Regions from separate parts of the Mus musculus genome. Here regions 2, 3, 4, 5 and 6 are each reported to be linked to region 1. Evidence: microRNA targets listed by miRTarBase, many of them from high-throughput screens and not tested one by one. Region 1 holds a microRNA gene; each other region holds the end of a gene's coding sequence.
Evidence for each region. The annotated mature microRNA mmu-miR-1306-5p reads CACCACCUCCCCUGCAAACGUCC and lies in region 1 at 2,694-2,716, shown strand. An mRNA with a match to its seed (bases 2 to 7 or 8) in the 3' UTR can be bound and repressed. Matches are read on the target gene's strand: a 7mer-m8 pairs with bases 2 to 8, a 7mer-A1 pairs with bases 2 to 7 and ends in A, and an 8mer does both.

Region 2: miRTarBase lists Rinl as a target of mmu-miR-1306-5p. Seed matches in the 3' UTR shown: 8mer at 1,508-1,515.
Region 3: miRTarBase lists Rab11fip5 as a target of mmu-miR-1306-5p. Seed matches in the 3' UTR shown: 7mer-A1 at 1,110-1,116.
Region 4: the mRNA of Lhfpl4 is a reported target of mmu-miR-1306-5p. Seed matches in the 3' UTR shown: 7mer-m8 at 2,182-2,188.
Region 5: the mRNA of Slc8a2 is a reported target of mmu-miR-1306-5p. The part of its 3' UTR that is shown has no 7-base or 8-base seed match.
Region 6: miRTarBase lists Ptprb as a target of mmu-miR-1306-5p. Seed matches in the 3' UTR shown: 7mer-A1 at 2,441-2,447.

What each region holds. Positions count from the first base shown.
Region 1 is chr16:18,283,004-18,287,003 of GRCm38, reverse strand. It overlaps Mir1306 (microRNA 1306), which reads left to right and starts at 2,687; the gene lies at 2,687-2,765. Dgcr8 (DGCR8, microprocessor complex subunit) reads left to right here. Exons shown (of 14, transcript NM_033324.2): 2 at 2,308-3,307; 3 at 3,721-3,880. The coding sequence starts at 2,588. Gm24572 (predicted gene, 24572) reads left to right here and starts at 2,367; the gene lies at 2,367-2,454.
Region 2 is chr7:28,797,407-28,801,509 of GRCm38, forward strand. Rinl (Ras and Rab interactor-like) reads left to right here. Exons shown (of 12, transcript NM_177158.5): 11 at 154-317; 12 at 404-1,559. The coding sequence ends at 448. Among named protein-coding and RNA genes, the nearest start is that of n-TKctt24, 5.4 kb to the left of the region's middle.
Region 3 is chr6:85,333,437-85,337,539 of GRCm38, reverse strand. Rab11fip5 (RAB11 family interacting protein 5 (class I)) reads left to right here. Exons shown (of 6, transcript NM_001003955.2): 5 at 1-59; 6 at 314-2,578. The coding sequence ends at 517. Mir705 (microRNA 705) reads left to right here and starts at 1,167; the gene lies at 1,167-1,248. It also overlaps a transcript of Sfxn5 not described here.
Region 4 is chr6:113,168,535-113,172,637 of GRCm38, reverse strand. It overlaps Lhfpl4 (lipoma HMGIC fusion partner-like protein 4), which reads left to right. Exons shown (of 4, transcript NM_177763.3): 4 at 680-4,103. The coding sequence ends at 780. Among named protein-coding and RNA genes, the nearest start is that of Lhfpl4, 25 kb to the left of the region's middle.
Region 5 is chr7:16,158,543-16,162,645 of GRCm38, reverse strand. Slc8a2 (solute carrier family 8 (sodium/calcium exchanger), member 2) reads right to left here. Exons shown (of 10, transcript NM_148946.3): 10 at 2,135-3,842. The coding sequence ends at 3,466. Among named protein-coding and RNA genes, the nearest start is that of Meis3, 15 kb to the left of the region's middle.
Region 6 is chr10:116,383,124-116,387,226 of GRCm38, reverse strand. Ptprb (protein tyrosine phosphatase, receptor type, B) reads right to left here. Exons shown (of 32, transcript NM_029928.2): 32 at 1-3,374. The coding sequence ends at 3,352. Among named protein-coding and RNA genes, the nearest start is that of Kcnmb4os1, 33 kb to the left of the region's middle.

The DNA.
Region 1 (4,000 bases):
ATTGCTCTGTGGGGCAAATGTTTTATCTGCTTTGTGCTTAACACATATACATGGTGTGTATGCCTTATGGGGCATTCAGCAAATAGTTGATTAATGAATTGAGTAAGCTTTCAGAGGGAAGGTAAGAAACTTACCTTAGCCTGCTGCTGAGTTCCAGAGCTGGACAATTTGCCTGCTTCTGCAAGATGTGTACTTTCCTTTTCCAGGGCCTCAGGGTCCCCACCTATGATATATATTTCTTTAAAGCTTTTCCTGCTTTAACACTTATTAATGTCTTCACTTATTGCCTTCATCTGTAGTTCCTCACTGGCCCACTGCTTTTAACATACAGTATGCTTCCCTATCCTCTACCACTCTTGTCTCCAATCCCTGCCTACTTGAGTGTTCTTACCATTAGCATATCCTACCTCAGATACCACAGATTTGACTTGCTGTGATCTCTGTACACCTAACAGGCACTGTCCTGATCTTATTTGAGGTCTGTTAGGATTAAGCATGCTGATGATTTTGTCCTCTGCAGTGGTCCTTGGTTGCCAGGAAACTTTGATCTCCCTCCTGGCTTCTTAGTTATTGCTCTCTTCTCAGTCATTCATAAGCACCTTTGATGGGAACACCTTTGGAGAGGTGTTTTGTTAAATTTCCATTGAATTAAAAACTGTTAGGCCACTGCCAGTTATAAGACATAAAGTCATAGTATAGACTTCCGGCTGTATCTAGGCCTTGGGGTTAATTATCTCTTGTTTTTGGTAGCACCTCTCAGAGTAGACTGTAAGTGAGTTTTTAAATGGTTTAATTTAACCTAAACAAGCCTCTGGCTTTTATGTACCTTCAGCAAGGCATAACCACCCCACTCAACCCTTTTATTGTAAGCTGCTTATATAGTTGATGTTTTCTGTCCTCTTGTCCTTTCTGGAGTCCAATATGAGTTATTGTAGGGGTAACCAAGCTGTCACCCATGGGCATGGTTGTATGTATGTATGTATATCTGCACCTGTAACTGTGTGCATGGCATGTGCATGTTTCTGTGCATGATGTGGGAGTGTGCATGTGTGTGTTCGTGTGCATGTGTTTCTGCCAATAACATTTTTTTCTGTGGATCTTTTGGTTTTGTGGCCAGCCTTCTGCTGATCTGCCTGCCCTGTGTGTCATCCCTCTTTGCAAGCATCCTCTGTAGCAGAGCTTCCTAGCATTACATCCTTCCCTCTCTGCTCTTTCCCTCTGGTGGTTTTGCTGCTTTACTTCCATGTGGTCTCCTCCCCTAGACCTCTTCAGGGCTCCAGAGTTATGGCCTGCCTGAGCACTGTGAGACAGGGCTACCTACAGCTCCTTCTCTTCTTCTCCCCAGGGTGCTAGAGTGTGTCTGCAGAGAAGCTTTCTCTTCACCTTTTTTTTCTGCTTTCCACCCCCATAGGGTCTGCAAGCATAGACCATTCCGTGACACTTTCTTTTTGTCTCCAGAGCTGCTTCCACATCTTTGTTTTGGAGAATTGTCCCAACATCTGGTGCAGTCCTATACCTGGTATAGCTGTGAGTCTTCTTTATAAGGAGAGTCACTTCCCTATTGATAGCTCACTATTCTTAGCCTGGAGCCAGGCTCCAAATGGCACCCAGAACCCTTTCTACCTTGGCTCTACCTTTCTCCTATGTTGTCCCACCTACCCCTTCCCCAATACTAGCAGGCTCCCTTCCCAACAGACACCCTTCCTCTACTGGGAATGGATCTATGCTGCCACTCCTGGTGACCTCAGCACGCTGCATCACTGTCCTGTCCACGTGCCACGTTGTGGGCCCAGGAGAGGGGGTCCCTGGGTAGCAGAGTGCCTGGCTATATCTCTGAGGTCTCTAGTGCCACAGAGTTGAGCTGAGGGTCTCACTCGCCCTCTGACTGACCCAGCCCTTGCAGGTGAGTGGATTGATGTCCCTCTTATGGCCTGAAGGAGGCCATGCACTCTACGTCTGTTCCTGAAATGGTGATGCATGCTTGCTTATCCACTAGACCAGGTTATGGGAGTGCTGTGGGAAAATTTAGCTTTTTTTTTTTTTTTTTTTAAAGTCTTAGTCTTTTTTGAGCTCTAAGACTGTATTTTTTGTGCTTCTGAAATAAAGATTAAAATGAATAGTTGATAAAATACTTAATTTAGGACTTAAAATTTAAAGTTATTTTTTTCTGATGTCTAAAAGGCTTCCTTAAAGGCAGTGTTATCTTGGTCCTTTACTACACCATTGATAACATTTGACTTTTAACTTTGTACCAGAGAAGTAAAAGGTTTCTGTCATTTGTGATGATATTTTTAAATTTTTTTGCAGGTGGAAGAAGAAAGGTGCCACTTTGGCATGAAGATAGACTCACTTAGACGTCAATCTTTTAAGCTGAGTGCATTGTGATTTCCAATAATTGAGGCAGTGGTTCTAAAAGCTGTCTACATTAATGAAAAGAGCAATGTGGCCAGCTTGACTAAGCCGCCAGTGTGTACAGCGCGGGCAGGACGACACCGGGTCTCGACGGACTTGTGCATGTTAGCAGTATAGATTTATGTAAGGTGGTTTAAAACTCTGGTCTTTTAAAGTAGTCTTAACTGCTCATAATATGGAGACATATGAGAGTCCCTCTCCTCTCCCGCGTGAGCCCGCAGGAGAAGCGATGATGGAGAACCGAGCTTGCCCCTTCCAAGTGCTGCCCCATGAACAGTCTCCACCACCTCCCCTGCAAACGTCCAGTGATGCAGAGGTAATGGACGTTGGCTCTGGTGGTGATGGACAGTCCGAACCTCCTGCCGACGACCCATTCAACTTCTACGGAGCTTCTCTTCTCTCCAAAGGATCCTTCTCTAAGGGCCGCCTCCTCATAGACCCGAACTGTAGTGGCCACAGCCCGCGCACTGCCCGGCACGCACCTGCGGTCCGGAAGTTCTCCCCTGACCTTAAGTTGCTTAAGGATGTAAAGATTAGCGTGAGCTTTACTGAGAGCTGCAGGAGTAAGGACAGGAAGGTGCTGTACACAGGAGTAGAACGCAGCACTCGGCCTGAGTGTGGCCAGCTCCTTAGTCCTGTCAGTGGGGACGTGCATGCTTGTCCCTTTGGCGGGAGTGTTGGTAATGGGGTAGGCCTAGGGGGTGAGAGTGCAGATAAGAAGGATGAGGAAAATGAGCTGGATCAGGAAAAGAGAGTGGAGTATGCAGTGCTCGATGAGTTAGAAGATTTTACTGACAATTTGGAGCTAGATGAAGAAGGAACAGGCGGGTTCACGGCTAAAGCAATCGTTCAAAGAGACAGAGTGGATGAAGAGGCCTTGAATTTCTCCTATGAGGTATGTTGGTGACCAGTTCCCTGGAGGGCTCTGAGCAAAACCCAAAGAGAGGTTTGGAAGTGGCTTTATTTTTAAAAGCAGGGAAATCAAAGCAAAAACCCTGTGTGAGGTTAAATATTAATGGAGAAGGGAAAGATCCTCAGTAGAAAGTTTGGCTAACATTGAGCCTTGTCTCTTTCCAACCCAAGTCAGCAGATGCTGCTGAAAAGCCTCTTTGGCTGGGTGTGCTCCTGGAGTAGGCATGTTGATTTCACTTGTCATTTCAACCTGTTTGTTTTTCAGATGATCAAATGCCATCAGGGCATGCTCAGTCCCCATTGAGGGGCTCCTCTGTGTGTTCCCTCATACATGTGAAACTTGTCCTTGGTGCAAAAGCATGGAGGGGTGTAGGGTCTGAACACTTTATTTTGCAGGATGACTTTGACAATGATGTGGACGCTTTACTAGAAGAAGGTCTCTGTGCTCCCAAGAAGAGGCGAATGGAGGAAAAATATGGCGGAGACAGTGATCATCCATCTGATGGAGAGACAAGTGTACAGCCAATGATGACCAAGATTAAAACAGTGCTCAAAAGTGAGTGAGTCCATCACAAATCCTGAGTGCTTCATGGCCCCAGAACTCTTTCCTTCCCAAGAATATTTTGGGAGTTCTTTGGTGCTAGACATCAATCTGAGTAGAGACAGGTTTAAGTAT
Region 2 (4,103 bases), not on the chromosome of region 1:
AGGCCAGCCTGGTCTACAAAGTGAGCTCCAGGACAGCCAGGGCTATACAGAGAAACCCTGTCTCGAAAAACCAAAAAAAAAAAAAAAAAAAAAAAGAGTGGGCACTCAGAGAAGCCCAGTAGGGCTATGATGACCTCATTTTCTCTCCCCCAGCTGGGTATTATCTGACCACGTGGTTTGGGGCTCTCTACCACATTGCTCACTACCAGCCAGACACTGGCCGTGCACCCCAGGGGCTCAGCTCCGAGGCCCGGGCCTCCCTGCGCCAGTGGCATCGAAGACGGACACTGCACCAGCAAGCCCAGCCCACAGCCCAGGTAACCACCTATGCTATGCAGATGCAGGTGGAAGGGGCGGTGGTCTCTGATGCCCCTTTGACACAGCCTCCCATTTCTCCCCACAGGCCAACCAGCCTTTTGAGGAGCCATGGGCAATAGGGGACCCATGAAAACTGGAGTTCTCAAACCCCAGTCACTTCCGAACCTTTTGACCCACTCCTCTGCTAAGCAAGATTCTGGAGGCATCTGGGTCAGCATGGAGGGCAGGGCAGGAAAGGAGACGTGCCTCCTGCAATGTCTTACTTCCTCCTCCTCAATTCACCTCCTTCGGGTCTGTCCAGATGTTACCTCAACGAGGCGCTCCCCAGCAAACAAAACCCACACCCAGACAGTACTACAACTACAACCCTCTCGCCTGAATCTCTTTGGGGCAGGTAGAATAAAGGCACCGTCCCCAAAGGTGTCTTCATCCTGATCCTATCTGTGACTGTGACACTTAACTTGGTCAAGTGATCGTTACAAAAATGACAGCATGTCTGGACCTGAGATGGGAGCTTATTCTGGATTCTTCTGCAGCTCATGTAGTTAGGAGGGTGGCAGAGGTACAGGGACCATCATGAGCTTACGCCTCCAGCTATACAGCAGAATGAGGTGGAAAAAGTACTTGAGGCCAAGACCATGAGGACACTGTGGCACTGAAACATAGTAGGTGTTTAGGAACACCTATGTGCCTTGAAAACATATCACTGCCCTAATCTCTGTGACCGTATTTGGCAAAAGTGTTTGTGCAGCTATTATTATTATTTTTGTTGTTTTGGTTTTTCAAGACAGGGCTCCTCGGTGTAGCCCTGGCTGTCCTGGAACTTGCTGTGTAGACCTGGCTGGCCTCGAACTCAGACATCAGGGATTAAAGGTGTGTGCCCCCACCACCCAGCTCGTTCAGCCATCATTGAAGATGATAAAATGAGGGACAGTGCCCCGGGGACTGTGTCTGTGACTCCAGGAGCACCCACGCCATGCGGGAGACAAGGAGAACGAACGGATGGGAACAAGAGAGACGGGAGATGCTGGGCTACTCCAGGAAAGCTTCTCCCCACTGCCACCCCCCCTCTGAGAGCTGCAGAAGTCATGGGGCCCTGCTGTCAACCTGGTTTCTGTGAGATTAGTGATGTCAGAACTCTGACCTCCAGAATTGTGAGCAAATAAATTCCTGCCGTCTTAAGACACCAAGGTGGTAATAATAATAATAATCAATAAAATTTAAAATGTACTGACGAGCAATGGAGGTGCAGACCTGTAATCCCACCAACATGTGAGGAGACTGAGGCCCGCCTGGGATGCCCGAGGCCCTGCCTGACTCAGCAATGAAGCTCTTACCTAGAATTCGCAGCAAAGGGCTGTGGGTATGGCTCATCAGCGCGGTGCTTGCCTAGAGGCCACTGTTAAAGAGCTGGAGTGTGGCCTGGTGGTAAAGTATGTGCCTTGCATGCTTGAGGCTGTAGTTTTTATTACCATCAACACACACACACACACACACACACACGCATGCCCCAGTGTACGTCAGTGTTGGAGAGCTGTCTTCATTAACAGCACTGACTATTCACCTAGAGAACCAGGATTCACTTCCCAGCACCCACACGGCAAATCCCAAACCATCTGTAACTCAAGTTCTCGAGTTCTAAGCACCTGAGACCCTCTTCTGGCTTCCACTAGCATCAGACACACATGTGATACACAGACATTCCTGCAGGCAAGGCACAGTATCTTTAAAATATAAGTGAGACCATCGTAAGTTAGTGAGTGTGCATAGTAAGTTGATAAAGGTATCTGAGTGTTTGAGTTATAGGAATCATCCTAGCAAGTTAACTAAGTCCACTGGCCAGATAGACGGTTTATTACCTGAAACTCAAGACCGGCCCCGAAGCAGCAGAAGTTGGGTGCATCCTGTAGACCCAAGCTCATTATCTGTAGGATCTGAGGCTAACTCCAGATAGTGTCAGGATCGGGTTAAATTATAGGACACCCATCTTTATTGGCCAAGGGAATTTCTTGATGTATGTGTGGGAAAACCTCCACACACATCTGGTGTCTGAAGTGTGTGAGTTGTGTGGGAGTGAGGGAAATGTACCTTTTTTTTTTTTTTTTGAGACTGGGTGAAGCTCTGGCTGCCCTGGAATCTGCTCTTAGACCAGGCTGGCTTTGAACTCAGGGATCTGGCTACCTCTGCCTCCCAAGTGCTGGGATTAAAAACATGCTACCCCTCCAAGGCCCCCCCAACCCCACCTCTTCTATTTTATAGAAAAACAAGGAAAGCTTCATGCAGGTGGATTGGACAGGGATGCGCGGCACGTAGCAGAAGAGGAGGCAGCCAAAGAAGAATCACGTGGGCCACATCTGTATGTGTGGCTTGTTGCTGTGATGACACCGTGACCAGAAGCCACCGGGGGAAGGAAAGGGTTTATTTTGGTTTAAGGTTCTAGAAGACTCCGCCGTGGAAGGGGAGGCATGGCAGGAAGAGTACACATCTTCAGAAGAAGATGTGAAGAGATCACATCTTCAGCCGCTCACAGGAAGCACAGAGAACAGGAGGGAGGGGGCAGGTTGAGAAGCCTTGAGTCCTTTCCTTAGTGATAAACTTCTCCCCATAAGGCTCTGCCTCCTCAAGGGCCTGTAACCTCCCCAAGCAGTGCCACCAGCCAGGGGCCATGTGTCCAAACACCTGAGCCTCTAGGGACATTTCTCATTCAAACCACCACCACACCAAAAACTTAAAAATTCTAAACATGCATGCCTGTCATGTACCACAGCATTTAGAAAGCAGAGGCAGGAGGATTCCTTCTAGTTCTAAGTCAGCCTGGGCTTTGTAGGAAGACCCTACCTTCAAAACCAAAGTAGATTTGGGAGATGGCCCACTGGGCTAAGTGCCTACTATACAAGGACCTGTGTTCAGGTCCTTGGTGTGGCAGCAGGTACCTATAACTGACTCACTGGCCTGCCAGTCTTGCCAAAGCAGCAACTTCTAGATTCAGCAAGAGACTCTTGTCCAAAAAAAAAAAAAAAAAAAAAAGGGGAGCTAGAGAGATGGGGCAGTGGTTCAGAGCACTCGTGTTTTTGTAGAGGACCCAGGTTCTATTCCCAGCACCCACATGGCAGCTTACAACCTTCTATAAGTCCAGTTCCAGGGGATCCAACACTCTTCTTTTGAGACAGGGTTTCTCTGTAGCCCTGGCTGTCCTGGAACTCACTTTGTAGACCAAAAAAATCCCAGCACTTGGGAGGTAGAGGTAGGCCTCGAACTCAGAAATCCGCCTGCCTCTGCCTCCCAAGTGCTGGGATTAAAGGTGTGTGCCACCACGCCCGGCCCAACACCCTCTTCTGACCTCCAAGGGCACCAGGCACACACATGCAAGAAAAACACATAAATTGATTAAATGTGGTGCTGGCCAAAAAGAGAAAAAAAGTAACAGGTTCTGCTGCCAAGGTGGACAGACAACTTGAGTTTGAAGAGGGCAGAATCAACTCCTGGTCCTCTGACCTTCATATCTGTGCCATTGGACGTGTGAACATAAACACACAAATATAAATAAAATGATGTTTCCAGGAGGCGGTGGTACACGCCTTTAATCCCAGCCAGCACTTGGAAGGCAGAGTCGATCTCTGTGAATTTGAGACCTCTCTGGTCTACAGGGTGAGTTCCAGGACGGCCAGGGATACACTGAAACCCTGTCTCAAAAACAAAACAAGACAAGACAAACAAAAAAGTCAAGAAAGTATTGAAGAATATACCTGTGTTGACCTGCACAGCATATCCATGTGCACACACAC
Region 3 (4,103 bases), not on the chromosome of region 1:
TCCAGTCTGTGCTTCCAGCGTCCCAGCTTGGCTCAAGTGTGGACACCAAGAGGCCAAAGGTGAGGTGCAGCAAGGTGTTAGGGGGCAACTGAGAGAACAGGCCGTAAGATGAACAGAGGCCAAGTGATGCTGGGGGCAGAGCAGGTAACTGGTAATTCCCCGTGCCACAGCTCTTAAGTGGAGAGGACATCTTCAGCCATAGAGATGGGCTGCTGCCAGGTCTGGGGTTCTACAGTAGGGAAACAGGTTTGGGTGGGCTAGCTGGGGGAAGGTCTAGCCCTCCCCTGCTTAGTTGCATTCTATTTTGCTATAGGATTCTGCTGTGCTGGACCAGTCGGCCAAGTACTATCACCTGACTCATGATGAGCTCATTGGCCTGCTCCTGCAGCGTGAGCGTGAGCTGAGCCAGAGAGACGAGCATGTGCAAGAACTGGAGAGCTACATTGACCGGCTGCTGGTGCGGATCATGGAGACCTCGCCCACACTGCTGCAAATCTCCCCTGGCCCCCCCAAGTAGCCCTTCACGCCATCCCTGGAGGGATGGTGAGGACCTGTGTAGTGCCCGCCACTGACTGCTCTCACCTGAGTAGGGCAAGCCTGCTCTCATGGTGACTCTCTGCACCCCTCCCCATCCTGCCTCTGCTCTGGCTGCTGGAAGGGGCTCTTTGAACTCCCACTGGAGCCTTGGGTCTTCCCTACCTGACCATTCTCACACGCGAGGTTATGGGGCTCCCCAGAGAATTGCAACAAGGTTGTTAGCTGTCAAGATGGAGCAGGAGTGAGCTCTGGGTTCTGGGGTGAGCTGAATTATCTAAGGCAACACTGTTGACAGCACAGCTCACCCCATGAGGCTGGTCATTTGTTTCTCCTCTTGACCAACTCTTCATCTCCATTGCCTTCTGGCACCTGGAGGGTCTCCTAGGCCACTGGGACAGGGATGGGAACTAAGCTGCTTGCTTTTCTGTGCACTGTAGACAACCAGGGCACCTACACTTCAGCCTTGTGCCTATACCCTAAGAGCAAGGAGCCTGTGTGTTTTCGTCTTGTCTCTCTGTCTAGAGCATGTACACAGGGTGGTGGTGGTGGTGGGGGGTGGTGGTGGTGGTGGTGGTGGTATGTGCCTATTCCTCAGCTGCCCCCTGCCCCTCTTCAGACCCTCCCACTCCATGTCCCAGTAGTGGTGGGAGGTGGGGTGGGCACAGAGGGAATGACTTCTTTCTCCTGCAGTCCTCCCTACCTCCCTAACATGAAACCCTCCAGGTTGGGGTTTGGGGCTGCTCATGTTTTGTGGACCAGGCCTCCATTCATGTCTGTTAACACTCGTCAGATGCCAAAACTGTGCTGCTGTGGGCTCAGAACATTTGGAAACCAATTAAACGTGCCTTTTGTGGGTGAGGACAAGAGCCTCTGGATGTAGATGTCTCTCTGGCCATGGTGTCCCCTCCCTCCTGTTGAGCACGTGAAAACGGCTGTGAGGGTCCTGAAAGGGGGCTGTGGACCACGCTGTTTACTACCCCGAGAAGTACCTCAGCTAAGGCTCTGGCCAACCTGCTTTGGAGGTGTCCTAAGCCGCCTTCCCACTTCCTGGTCCTCCCTTGACCCTTATTTGGAGCATCCTGGTAAAAAAATCTAGTGCACAGTAGGTCTGGGGCTATCCTGCACCTTACTGTGTCTGACCTTGGGTCCCAGTTATGCTGGACCAGTGGGTTTGTCTGGAAGCAGGAGGCTTCATTCTGCTTTAGGAGACACCTGAGCTTAGGAAAATGCCCGTGGCTCTCCAGCTGTTCTGTCCTTGTTGTACAGTCCCTCCTGCTCACCAATCCCTCCTGTCTTGCCTGGCTTGGCTGAAGTGCATTCAAGTGAAGTCAGGTATCTGCTCTGTGGTCCAGCTTCTAGCTTGCTTGTGAATACTGCCAGTCTCCCTGGCATCCTCGGGGGTCCTTGGTGGCTGTGCATTACAAAAGGTATGAGTGAAGGAGGTGAGATGCTGACAAAAGATTCTTTGGGCCCAGTGGAGAAGCAGTAACGTCTTTCCAGCTGTCTCTTAAAGACAGGGTCATGGGTTCACTCAGAACACCTCAGGAGAATATTCTCTGTGGATGACGTCAGTCTTCTGCCAGCATAGAGCAGATGAACCACAATGGGGTCCACCACTGTGCAGTTACCAACTATAGGTCAACTCAGAGATGAGAAAATAGCCACCAGTTCCCAGAGTTTGGGGGTAGGGTCAGTCCTTGGGTGTTGGAGGTGTCTTTTGAGGAACTGAGTCCCTCTTCTAGGTCTTCCTCTGGGCTTTAATTAGTCCCAGCCCTTCTCTCATCTTTCATCCATCCTTGCTGTTTGGCTTCTCTACATGGCCAGGGCAGGGGTGTCCTGCAGAGAGGTCCTGAACTGAGGCCAGGGTTTTGTTCATTGTCTGATCCTTACCACATACTGCAGAGTGCAGCCAGACAGGCAGCAAGCAGGCACAGCTCTGCTCTGCCCTTTGTCCTCCTAGTTGAAACTCCTGTCTATAAAGAGCTTGTTCTTCATGTTTTGAGCACTTTATGAAGAATAAAAAGATCACGTACCGCAGCCAGCTTGTGTGTTTGTTTTGAAATGAGCGGACAAAGGAGACCGCCTGTGGGAGAGGGCAGTGTGGTTCTCAGGTGACAGAGCTACCGCTCTGAAATCACAGGCAACACTGCCTCATGGCCCGTGTGCCTAGGATGCCTGTGCTCACGGGCACTGATCACAGGCATATTTACTGAGTGTTGGGCCTGGCGGGGTGGGGGGAGTGGATAAAGAGGGCAAGTTTTGTGATTTCTGTCCTGAAGCCACTGAGTTCAGTAAGGAAAGGTAGGATACAAACCAAAAATAAGAACTGTTCTTTGGGTCATTTGTGAGTTCTATTCCATGTGGGTCAGCTATCAGTGAGTGAATGAGCCCTTGGGCCACCAATGGCTCATGCTGTGTCCAGAAGGACAAGAGGGCAACCCCAAGTTAGCTCTGAATCCCACCATGAGACAGAGGCTCCCCTAGAGTCAAGGAGTTATGTCCTGGGTGAAACCATCAACTCCCCATTCTCCATGCCCAGTGTGGCTTATAACCACACCACTTAGCTGGGGCTGCAGTTGCCATTTGGTGCCATTCTGCAGGGGGTGGGGGTGAGGTGTTTATTACCTTGGTATTCTCTACAGCTCCTGGTGCACCCCTGTTGCTGGTCCTCAGTAATTAGGCTTGGACCAAACCTCCTTAGATCAAAAGAAGTAGGGTCTCAGGATGCTTAAGCTCTGGATATTTAAGTCACCCAAAGCATTTGAGTACCTAGTGTCAACCTTCCTATATCTGCACTGAAGATTTATCCATCCCCCTCCCCCACCATACAGTAGGAAAGATATTTAAGCTCATGGTTTGTCTGCTGGCTGGCACCTGTAATCCTGGGACTTGGGAGGCAGAGGAAGAAGGATCACAAGTTTGAGGCCAGCCTGTGCTACATAGTTCCAGGCTAGCCTGAGTTACATGCAAGGAGGCAAGAGAGTGCTGCGTGGTACAAAATCCGGAAGCGGATTTTTGTGGAAGTAGGCTGATGGAACGGATGAACGCGTATGCGGAACCTATAAAAAGAATCGCCTCAGGCCATGATAAAAATGAGCAGAATGTTAAAGGGTCACAGCAGCGTGAGCATGGCTTGTTTCAGAGAGTGGCAGAATGGCTGGAGCCAGGATTTTGATAGAAGAAACGGTAGGAAAATCCCGCAGTGCGACTCCTTGCTGAAGGCCATCCGAATTAACCCCACTCTGCCTGGAGTCCTTGCTTGTCTGATCCCGGGTCGTGTCCGCGTTTGTAGGGGTTCCTTGTCCTAAGACTCAGGCCTACACGTATATCCGCACATGCATTTGCATACATTCTCAGGACTGCAAACGCCTGCTGCTTTAGCGGTAGGAACTAAGACCAGGTCTGCGTGGGTGCAACTCTCTGCAGTCTGAGGTTGTCAGGCTCAGAGCAGGGGAAAACTACACTCCCCAGAAGCCCCTGCGCGCCCGGTTCGCTGCGGTTGCTCACGGCCAATCGGGAGAGGCAACTGTGGCGGGGGCCGAGGAGGGACATTTTAAAAGGGCTGG
Region 4 (4,103 bases), not on the chromosome of region 1:
ATTTACTTGAAAGACATGGCTCTGCTTTGTAGACTAGGATACACTGGAACTTACTGTGTAGCCCAGGTTGCCCCCATACCTGTGGCAAGCCTTATGCTTCACTCAGCCTCCTGTTAAGAGTTAAGATTAAGATGGGAGCCAACTTTCCCAGCTACAGCTCATTGTTAAAATGATATGGGAGGCCAGTCATGGTAGTGTATACCTGTAAGCTTCGTACTCTGAAGGCATAGGCAGGAGAATCAGATCAAGGCTAGCCTCTGCTACCTTGTAAATTCAAAGCCAGCCTAGGATACAAGAGAGTTAAAAACAACCCCTTCCTGCCCAATAAAACTCCCCACACCAGTGATGTGGGGAGCTCCACCCATCTGCATCCTTAACTGCTTCATGGAGGTGGACACTGTAGGCCAGTTCCAAGTCAAAGGCATTTGCTATGACCTTTCAGAATGGCCCTGTGGAGTGGGAGAGGGTCTTTATTTCACACATGACAGCTAATGGGTTACATGGTGTGCTTAAGGCTGACCTGTCATTCAAGGACTTGGTTCTAGTCACTTCTGGCCATTTGTGTCTTGGGGAGTGGCTGAGGGGGCAGCTGGGACCTCACAGGCTCTAACATTCTCCCTCTTCCTCTCCCTCCCCTTCCCCCTCTCTCTTTCTCCCCTCCCCTCCCTTCCTCCCACAGATTTCGTGGGCACTACAGTAAGTTCCGTGCTGCGGCCAGGAGGTGATGTGTCTGGCTGGGGAGTCCTACCATGCCCTGTTGCTCACACACAGGGACCCTGAAAGCCGGGATTTTATAGCCCAGGAGTTGGCCTGACCTCAGCATATCCCGTCTGCTGCCCTCTCATTCCTGCGTTCAAGCTCCAGACCCAAATCTTGAACTGGCTGCACACGGACCTCCTCCGGGCTCTGAAGAGAGGCAGGGGCTAGGTGGCAGCCTGGCAAGAAGGCAGAGCCCTTGAGATCCTGAGTCTGGCCCCGCCTCCATTGGACCTAGTGGAGCCTGGGCCTCCCTCTTTGGTCCCTCGGTTTCCTTCTCTCCTGTGTAGACTAGCTGGAGGTCCCTGGGGATCCCCAGGGAAAGGACGCTCTGCCGCGCAATCTCCTTGGACCCCTTCAGTGTGCAGGGCTGCCTGCTGCGTCCTTGCCTGCCGGTCCTGATCGCCTAAAGAGACTTACTCAACACACTGCCCCAGGAGGGCCAGACTCTTTCCTACTTTATTTTTATTCGCTGATGATGGTCCCACCACATCTGCCACAAAGCTCCAGGTGCCACCAGCCCCCCAACGGGGCCTCCTCTGCCTCCCTCATTCAAGCCTGCACCCAGCTCTCAAAAGAATCTGAGCCGTGCTGAGGGGGAAAGGATAGGGTCTTCCTTCCTGCTGCTGGTAGTCCTTCATCACCTCAGAGTCTGAGGGGGAGACACGGGCTCTGGAGGCTGTGGGAGGAGGAAGCTAGTTCCAGCCTGAGGCTGGCCTGGCCTCTTCCCTACTGGGATATCTCACTGGTGACTGGCCCCTCGAGCCTGGCCTGTTTTGTACAGCATAGACTTCTCAGGCCCATTGTCAGGGTTGGTGGCTGTGGAGAGGGGGCACAGAGGTGGGGACTTAGGGGTTACCCCTCTCCTTCTCATGCTTCCTACACCCTGGACATCTGCCAAGGGCAGAGACTGTCTTGCGTCTTTGATACTTTTCTGCCTAACTTGAACTTGCAGGTCACCTCTGAACAGGGTACCCTTGTCCCCACCCCAGGCCCTGTTACCCTGTCCCTGCCTCTTTCTCCTCTTTGCCCACTTCTCGCCTTGCGATAAGCCCAGGGTCTGCAACCTCATGGGCAGTGCTTGGAGCTGAGGTAGGTGTGTGTGCATGAGTGTGTGCGTGTATGTGTGTGTATGTGTGTGTATGCGTGTGTATGCGTGAGTATGTGTGTGCGTGTATGTGTGTATGTGTGTGTTTGTGTGTGTGTGCGTGTGTGTATGTGTGTATGTGTGTGTGTGTGTGTGTGTGCGTGTGTATGTGTGTGCATGTATGTATGTATGTGTGTGTTTGTGTGTGCGTGTGTGTGTGTGTGTGTGTGTGTGTGTGTGTGCGTGTGTTAGGAAAGGGCAGATGAGAAGATCTCTCTTCTCCTGCAGTGGGGGGCCCCTCCCTCCCCCTTAGCAGAGAGAAAAACGAGGGAGATTCCAGGTGGTTTTTTGTTGTTGTTGTTGTTGTTGTTTTGTTTTTTATTTTGTTGTAGTTTTTGACCATCTTTGGCTACCTTATGGATCTGGTGGCAGAGCCATCTAATCATAGAAAAGCCTCCAGTTTCCAGTGGAGGGGTGGCAGACGAACGTCATCAAACATAATGTCTCCGAGGACACGGCCTGCTGCCTGGTCCTTGTGTCGAGGAATGTGTGCCTCCTATAGGCTGTCCAGGAGGCGTCTCACTTCCCTGTGTTACATTGGCCTCAGCCAGAGAGGAAGAACGGCTAGTCTATGAGTTTGCTGTCCTTGTGTTCATTTTCAGAGGACTTGGAGCTGAGTTAGGATTCCTGAGCCAGGCCCATGACCCAAGGCTGCCCCAGCAGGACCCTACCTGGAATCTGATGCTGGTTCCTGGCAGAATTCCTGACACTTGGAACGTTCCAGATCCCATCTCCACATTTTCTCCTCTCTCCTCCAGGGTAGACACCTCCTCCTGAGCTTTGGCCACTGCCCTTGTCTTCCCCAGCTCTTGTCCCAACCTGGTCCCTCCCTGGAGCCAGAGTGCTGGAGTCATCTTCAGCAGGTAGCCAGGAGACTGGGAATGGACAGGGAGGGTGGGGGAGCCTTGTCAGAAGGAGAAGGGAGCAGGAAGTCAGATCCTCAGCTTCAAACCAGAGGGGAGGGTCCAGGTAGTGGCGAGAGGGGCAGGAGTGGGTGACTGACTGAGAAGCGGGCAGGAGCAAAGCCGGCGAAGTAAAGATGAGGCAGGAGACAGGCGACAGGCATGGAAAGGGAGGAATGGAGAGAATGGAGAGAGAGAGAGAGAGAGAGAGAGAGAGAGAGAGAGAGAGAGAGAGAGAGAGAGAGAGAGAGATCTGGAGAGGCACACACAACGATGGAGAAGTGAAGAACTAGAATGGGTTTTCCATGGATGGGCAGCAGATGAAGAAACCTGGGAGGTGGGAAATGGAGGGGTAATTCACAGGGAGCAAGAACAAAATGTAGAGAAGAAAGAAGATAGTGGGTATGTGTGTGAAGAGGAAACGCTAGGGATTGAGGAGGGCAGCCATGTGTGTGCTTGGAGAGCCTGTTTTCCTAAGAACACTTGCTGCCCAGGGGGTCCCTTGTGCTTTGGCAGACAGGATAGAATTGACTTCTTGGTGTCTGCGGTAGCTCTGATCCTTTGGAGAGAACTGTGTGTGTACAAGGGACCGAGCAGGCCAGGCTGTGTTAGATAGAGGTGGGCTAATGACAGAGAGGAAGGGCATGAGTTCCCTCTGAGGAGTCGTCTACCAGTGTTCTTGCCACTCTCCAGCCAACCAGCTGCTGCCCAGCGGTGCAGTGTGGAGTTTCAGGCTGGCAGGCTGAGGTCTGCAGTCTGCAGGAGCCCCAGGGTATCGCGGGGAAAGAAGAGAGGGAGCAATGGGAACCAAAATGTGGTCTTGAAGGCTTAGAAGAGTTAGGGACAAAGAAAATGGATGTTTCGGCCAAGAACTCAGGTGAGGCTCTAACTGACCTCCTGGCAGTTGACGTAGGACAGTTAGGGCGGGGAGCTGGTGTTAGCCTTTGGGGAAGGATAGGATATGGACATCAACATCTCTGTTTCTGATCACTAACCAAGAGCTTCCCGTTGTTGGGTCCCTGAAAATCCTCAGCTATTTGTGACTGGATGGAGAGGCTGGTGTTTGGTGTTAGCGGATTTCTTTGCTCTTGACAGAGAGGGGAGAGGAGAAAGCAGTTATAGCTTCAATGGGGTCCAGCCTCTGCTCCAGAGCACTGTTTAGACTAGTCCTTGGGGTTGAGGGAAGTAGAACACTGCCCTCTAAGGACCAGAGCTATGGAGGAAAGCTGTTCCAAGGGCCTGAGGATGTGGGGAATATTAACATCCTTCTGGGGCCTGCAAGAGCCAAGATGGCAGCT
Region 5 (4,103 bases), not on the chromosome of region 1:
GACTGATTTTATGTGATGTGGGGGATTGACCCCAGGGCTTCATGCATATGAACCCAGCCCTCTACCACAGGAGATGCAGTCACAGCCCACTGTGATTTTGAGGTAAGGTCTCACTCACTCTGTAGCTCAGGCTGGCCTGAAACTCAGTCCTGCTTCTGCCTTCTGAGTTCTGGGATTGCAGGTCTGTGCTAATGGTTTCATCTTAGAGTGTCCCTGAGCCCTTCACCCAATCCGTCACGCCAGATTTTTCCTCATGAGCATGCCATCTTGGAAACTTGCCTGCCACCTGGGTTTCCCTCTGCTCTTCTGGTGTCTCCCTTGCCTTCATCTCTCTCACCCATGCACACTTTAAATGTTGGAGATACCCCGAGGCACTGTTTCTGTTCTTCCCCCGGGCAGCCTATGCCAGTCCTGGCTTGCTGACAAGTCCCAGATCCCCCTCTCCTGCAGTTTCCTTTTCTGAGGGCCACAGCACCCTAGACTTCTCTCCCCTGTTTCTTCTGCATTTGACAGCCCCCCCCCCCCCCGCCACCATGTGCTCTCCTGCTCTCTTCATTCTAGACTGACAGGCGCTGGCTTGAGCCCGTGGCTACAGGAGCTGGTGGGACCTGGAGGGTAAGATTAGTGTGCTCGCTCATCCTTTAGTGCTGCTCTCAGGCACTCCATGTGTCTGTGTTGCTCATGCTACCCCCAGCACAGCAGCTCGATGGGCCACTGCAGCCTCTGCTCATCTTGTGTCCAGGGAGGGCAGCTGCTTCCTTTGTACCCAGCCCTGTGGTGGCATGGGCACCTTCCCTGTCCCTACCCGAGTCACTTTAAGGTCTTTTCCCTAAATTCCCCCTCAGTCACCACCTCTTTCCAGCCGATAGGTCTTCCTGTGCCTTCTCACTGGCTTGATCTGTGACCTGATTTCCAACACCCAGTCCAGCCTCCACTCCTCTTCTCCTGCCTGAGTTCCTGATTTCCAACCTCTGATATCACAGGAAGTCGCTGATATCACAGGAGTCTATGAGGAATGCTTAAAATTATAAATCAGGAGCTGGAGAGACAGACGGCTTGGAGATTAAGAACATTGACCCGGCAGGGTACAGTTCCCAGTATCCATTGCGTGGCCCACGATTGCCTTGTTCTGGGTATCCAAAGCCCCCTTCTGGCCTTCGCAGACACTACACGCACATGATGAACATACGTACACAATCAAAGTACACATACACACAAAACAAAAAAATTATATAAATCAGCTGACATCATCTGCTGGCCTGCTCCTTCTAAATTTCTTCTGAAGCAGCCCTTTGCTCTTAAATCTTAAGCCTCCTTGTGTGGCTATTACCGGCTTTTACACTTGGTCCTCTGAAGGTCTCTCTGCTCCCCACTCCATGCAGGAAGCGCGTCTTTCGTTTCTGCTCATCCTTTGTCCCACTCTGAAAAAGCCACTGCCTCACACGTCTGTACACATTAACTTTGTACTCATTCCCTAGAATAATCCACCCTTATGAAAACACACACACACACACACACACACACACACACACACACACACACACACACACACACACACACACACCTCCTGTTCCATGCATGATTCTGAGAAAGTGACCTATTTTATTTAGGAAACTTCATCAACCTCAGCTCCCTCTGGCTCAGGCAAATTAGAGTCCTTCTCTTTTGCAATCCCACAATATCCTATGAAGAGGAACCATTTGTGGCTGGTGAGTGGGGTGTGGCCAGCAGAAGCTCAGGACTGTGAGGGGCGTGGCAACCAGGGCTAGGTTCTTGGTTGATGGGTGGGGCATGGTACTAGAAACCTATGGCTGCTTGGCAGGGGCGTGGCTAGTGGAGGCTCATGATTGATGGGTGGAACATCAGTACTAGAAACCAATGGCTAATGGGCAGGGGTGAAACTAGTAGATGCTCTTGGCTAATGGGTAAGGCGTGGTACCAGAAGCCTATGGCTTTTAGTTATGGTTGTGGCTGGTGGAGGCTCTGGTAACATTGAATGTGGTTAGCGTATGCTGGTGTCCTGCTGTCTGGCCAACTCTAATGCAAAGGCTGCCGGGTCTGTTTCCTGTGGTCTAGATGTCGGAGCTGCTACCATCCCTTTCCTCCTGCACCCCAACTTCCCACGGGAGGACTGTTCAGGCAGAATTTCAAAGTTTTATGGCAGTTTTTTACAGAAACCACAGAGAAGGGACATCAAGTGATGCTGATGAGCAAGGGGTGAGAAGGGCCGTGGGTAATGGGTCTGATGCACAAATGGACAAGAAAATGCAAAAATAATAACTTAGGGAAAGCAGAAGGCTGTGAGGGTGGCAGGGTCACCTAAGGTCGCAAGGAGTGGGCAGCACTCCCCGTTCCCCAAGGATGTCTTTTTTGGGGCAGGAGACATCAACAGTAAGAAAATGCAGGTGGCCTACCAACAGATGTATGGCCTGCAAAGTTAAAAATGCCCACCCAGCCCCCCTCCCACCCTCCCCTCCACCCCCGCCCCCCAACAGGCAGAGATGTGGCAGCATTTGCTGGCTTGTAGCATTGGTCCTCTGGGACCCTCGGTCTCCTCTTCGAGGGTCCTGCCCAGATTGGCTGGCACTGAGAGCAAAATAAACCTTCTAGACTAGAGTACTTTCGTTAACCCTTCTAGAATACTGTCAGGGGAGGTCAGGTGGGCTCCCTTTGAGTCTCAGTCTCATCCACTAAGCTGGTTCTCAGGCTGAGTGAGTCCTGCTGCCCTCTCAGAAGGGAAAGTCTGTCAACGCCCCTTTCCCCAAGACATGCACCCTCCCGTGTCCCCCCTCCCCAAACACACTATATACACACACAGGCTCCTCCCTCCAAGGCGTGGCTAGGCTCTCAGAGGTAGTGGAGGGTGAGTAGGGCGCTGGAATGTCAGAAGTAGTGGGTTCAAGATGTGCCTCCTCTGGCTAAGCCTGGGGGACAGATACTCCAAACGTCCCTCCTCCATCTCCAAGCCTCTGAGTGGATAAATCAGGGAAGGTGCGTGCCTTTCTCCCTGCTCCCCGCACAAACCCCTATTCCTTTCCCTGGGGACTGCAAGGGAGCTCCCTGAGGGTTGGGGTGGTTAAGGGCAGAGATGGATGGCGTCCTGGGATGGCACAGCCTCCCTCTGAGGTACCTAGGGAGATGTTCTAAGACCTGGGCGCACAGGTGGAAGTTCGTGGCTTGAGGGAGGGACACGAGAAGACAGAATCAGGCTCGGTGCCCAGAAAGACCGAGAAGTAGTGTCTGGCCAGGGGACTCGGGTTTACCTCACAAAGGATGGGCTGAAGGGGATGCAGCTGAGAAGGGAGGGCAAAGGATGGGATTCCAGGGGGAAAGGGAGGCTGATCCCAGGAAGAAGGCTGAGGAGGAAGAGCCTAGGGAGCGCCCAGGCTGAGTCTGGGTAGAGAGACTGGTGGGTCCAAGAGCAAATGCCACCAAGTCCCCACCCTCAGGGCGGTGGCTAGGGCCCTAGAAGCCCCGGATGTGGCAGTAAGCCTCCAGGCTGGAGAAGAGAATGTAGAGGAACCAGAGGCCCAGGAAGAGAGCGGTGGTGGCCAGCTTGGGTCCCCGCGGGCCGCCCAGCTCGCCGCCAATCTGCGGCCGGCGCCGGTACAACAGCACTGCGATGCACACGAAGGCGAAGACGGTGAACAGCGTGACCGAGAAGGCCAGCGTGCCTGCACGCACCTCGAAGGGGCGACCCTGCACCGCCCAGTATACCGCTGCCACCGACCAGGCCACACCCAGGCCCAGGAACACGTTCACCGCATTGGAGCCGGTCACGTTACCGATGGACGCGTCGGCACACTGGTCCTGCAGCGCGGCCACCTTGCTGGCGAACGTGTCTACAGGGACAAGACGGAGGGGGGGGGGTGCGGTGTGAGAGGCTGCGTGACGTCCCCAGACCATTGCCTACTTCCTTTGGGATCGGTCTTCATGCAGTAAGCTTCACTGTCTGTGGAACACTTCTTTGGGACTTTTGTGCAACCAGTAGGCTCCACCGCCTACTCTCAATGGCATCAAGCTTGCTTTCTGTAAAGCTGGCATTGAGCTCTCGTCTAGGGGCTCACTTTTTAACTTTGGAGGAGCTGCTGCTGCCCAGCCCT
Region 6 (4,103 bases), not on the chromosome of region 1:
TTTCTTTTTCTCTCTCTCTCTTTCTTCCTTCCTTCTTTTTGTGAGGGGATCAGAAAGTGTTTAATATAAGGAGTTAGAGCCTTAACACGGAGCTAAGAGAAGCACTGTGCAGTGGATCATGAGTGCCCTATTTTTGTATTGCTGGACATCTGTTAAAACGTTTCACAGTATTTTCTCATATCATTTTGGGCTTTCCTCCAAGAGGTAATAACAAAATTAATTACAGAGCCTCCTAAATATAACTGACCCCAGATTGCTATGTTGTTGCCGTTTCAATGTTGAAAAATTAAAGTCTTAATCACTCCTGTATGGTGTTGAGGTTATGAGATGCTAGCAGTGTGTGGAAGATGAGATGAATAGAAGATAAAGGCACATTCGCCCAGCACAGTGAGCCATTCACCAGGAAGCAGCAGCAAGCAAGGGGAGGGTGGAAGGCCGGGCACTAAAGGGTGGAAGTTCCTCAAGATGAACGTTTGCAAGCCCAGACAGGGAGATAGATGCATCTTTGAACAATCTGATTCAAGAGTGGGAAAGTTGGCAGCTTTCCAGAGTAACGCAGACTTGCAATGTGAAATTGATTTAATCTGAAAGACTAGAGGAGTTAATTATAAGGAACCTGGGTAAATAATTATTAAGATGCAAAACAGACTCTCTCAAAGTCTGAGAGCCTTGAAGTACTTGACAGCTTTAGTTGAGTACAGAGCTGCTCTCAGGTGCAGACAGGATGTCCGACACGGTAGTAAGTGGAGTGTTTACCGAGGCACAGCCATGTGAAGCAATTAAGGGGAGATGCACCCAACAGAAGGAAGGGCCAAAGAAACCTTTCTTTCTTTTTCTCCTTACTTATTTTGTGGTACCTGAGACTAAACCCAGGGCCTCCCATGTGCCTGGCAAGCATCCTATCGGTAGTTACATTTTCAGTCCAGCTCTCCGCTAAGTTTGATGGGTAGATCAACTAGATTTGTATTAGATCTTTTCAAGAGAGAAATTACACAGAAGTATTTGTTGCTAAGGGGGCTTTAAAACTTGTATAGAGGAGGTATTAGTATTCCCTGGAATAGAGAGCAAGAATGCATGGTGTCCCTGGGCTGCATGGCTGTGCTCATTTCTGTACCTCTGACTTCACCCAAGCTGCTTTGAGAGGTGTGTGAGTTACGGCTACAGACCTGCAGGGGCTTTGTGGTGGTAGTCCCTGCGTGTGCAACGAACTGCTTTCTCTTCTGCATCTAGTGACTTGCCATAGAAACAGCTCCAGCCCTTGCTGGCAGGTGCCTCAAGGAAGGCATCGCTCTGGTCCCCTGCCCTCACCCAGACCCTCTTCCACTTCCTATTGAAAACAATAACAACATTAATTTCACTGCACCTTGCTTCTCTCCTTGAGGACACAGAGAAACAGATTTCGGAACAGGGCCCAACAGGTTCCAGGCCCTTGCTGGAACTTTTCTTAAAATGAAAATGGACTTCCTTTTCCAGGTCATGAGCATGCTTTGCACCAAGCAACATCGTTTTACAACTCTACCCCCTCCCCTTTCTTTTCTCTTCTCAGAGGGGAGGAGGGAGAGATACACACACAAGCTTGCTACCTCTGAGCTGCTCCCTCGACCTAGCTTTTTTTCTTTTTCCTCTAAGAAAACCATTCCTAACACACAACACACCCAAACCATGCCTGGCCTCCATTTTCTCCCTAGTTACCGCTATATGCTTACACCTCTCCCCCTCTTTTTCCTGTTCCCAAGATCCGCCATGTTTCTGGCCGCAGGGCCAGAGCTGCTCAGTATCATTGTCATGGGGGCACAGAGCACAGGGACATCGGGAGAACTCTGAATGTTGTTCACAGGGATCCTTAGGACACAGCTCCTCTGTTTCTATAAACTTCGAACACTCCCTAAAAACATTTCCAGGCTGGGTGTGGAGTTATGTAATTATCTGTATCACATTATATTTACAAACTAAGGTTACAGTGATAAACACCTATACAATAGGTATCGTTAATTATTTTCAATTGTTATGCCAATTATATCCATTTTATTGTGGGAATTTATGATACATGGCAAAGATGCCTATGTTCGAGAGAAGCTGCTGTTTCTGGAAATGAAGCTCTGAGGTCAGAAAATGTGACGTCACACTCAGGCACCCACAGGACTCTCTCTAGACCTTCCTCAGGAAACATCTACGAATCAGACCTTGATCTGGCCAATGTCCACTCTCTGAGTCACTTGGGATTATTTATAGTCAAATAAAGCATAAATCTTAATGATAAAATTGGTAGGGTGTGTGGCGTTGCTTACAGTAAACTGAGCTTCAGGTGAGAACTTGATAACATTTTAACTGCATCAACTTACTTAGAAAGAGCATTTGAAGGGTTTTTAGACTAAGGAGAGCTGGTGTGTGTGTGTGTGTGTGTGTGTGTGTGTGTGTGTGTGTGTGTGTGTGTGTGTTTTACCACCACTCTTTAACTCATTATATATGATGTAGCTATTTCTATGGACATGTTGGCATACCATGCTTTCTCTGATCAGGAACATCACCTGCCACTGTAACTCTTTCCAGAGGAGAACCAGCTGGGACTGTTGCAGGTGGCCCGCTGCTGTGTGCTGGAGGTTCCTCATCCCTGTTAGTATTGCTCGCTATGGCACCCCTTAACCCCGTGGTCACTGCAAGCTTCAAGTTGACCCTGGGAGGGACCCTGGGACCCTGGGAGGAGTCAGACAAAAAGCTTCTAGCTTAGACAACAGCAAGCTCAGCTTTGGTGCTGTCGAATCCTCCTTTTAATTCACTTCATTTATTTTTAATTTCTTGGCATATGGCCTACCACAAAGGTTTGGCCACAGCCCTAATCTTTTTTGACTATTATATTCCTTAGATCCCAGGGTCCATTCATAAGAAAGCAGCTCAACATAGCTAGCCTCATGGTATGCTCTCTTCAGCTCTGACGTTCGCTTACCCAGTGACTATAAGGACAGGTAAGAAACACCCCCGGGGACTGTCCTTGCGACTTCCTCTACACACTTTTCACCCGTGGCCCTGTCATACAGGCTGTATGGGTCTATGTACAACAAGCCATGAACACTTTAGTGTGAAAATATATAAAGCTTAATTTTAAACATTATGAAAAATACATATTTACAGGAGAAACTACAAAATACAAGTATGTACAATAATATCTGTTACCTTTAAATTACATAAATTCTTTAACATTCTCCAGATTAATAAATTATACATAGTATCAACAGAAATGGCTGGCACCCCCACAGGGCATGAAGCAAGGTTTTGTTTTTGTTTTTTTGTTTTTGTTTTTTTTTAAAGTCACACAGTGAAACGCTTTTATCCAGGGGATCTTCAGGTGAATTCTTAATGTCTCGAGTAGATTGCATCTGGAAGCAAAGATGGTATGGTTAGAAACTGTAGAGCAGTTCTCAACCCGTGGGTCACATTCCCTTTGGGAGTCGAACGACCCTTTTTACAAAGGGTTGCATATCAGATATCCCGCGTATCAGATACTTACATTGTGATTCAAAACAATAGGTAAAGCACAGTTATGCAGTGGCAGTGGAAATGTTATGGTTGGGGTCACCGCGACGTGAAGAGCTGCATATTAAAGGGTCAGAGCATCGGGAAGGCTGAGAGCGGCTGCTGTAGAGAGACTGCCTCCATTGTCCTACTTCTGAGATGTATACATGGAAGACACTGGTGGATATCACCCAAGTGATTTAGGGCATCACTAAGCTCTTTAGGATAGAGCATCACTATGGAGCTAGCCCATCCTCTTTAGAAAGGCAGAGTCCTGGACTTGGAAGGGACTCCTGTTGCCCATGCCTTGCCTCTGAGTTCCAGAGGCAGGCCAAGGCCAGGACACAGAGTACTCTGCCTGAGGAGACGTAGAATATGAACTCCTGGCAGCCTCAGAGCTACGTTCTGACTCCTAGCCTTTAGGATAGTAGTTATACTTCAAGCCCACAGTTAACTTCTTCTAGGCACACCCAAGCTTAGTTTTTCAAAGATTCTCAAACAAGTTAACGCAAGACAAAGAACGCTTTTAAGATCGACCCCACCGTCCTCCACCATCCGGGAGTTTCTTAAAAGAGGCTGACAAGCAAAAACCT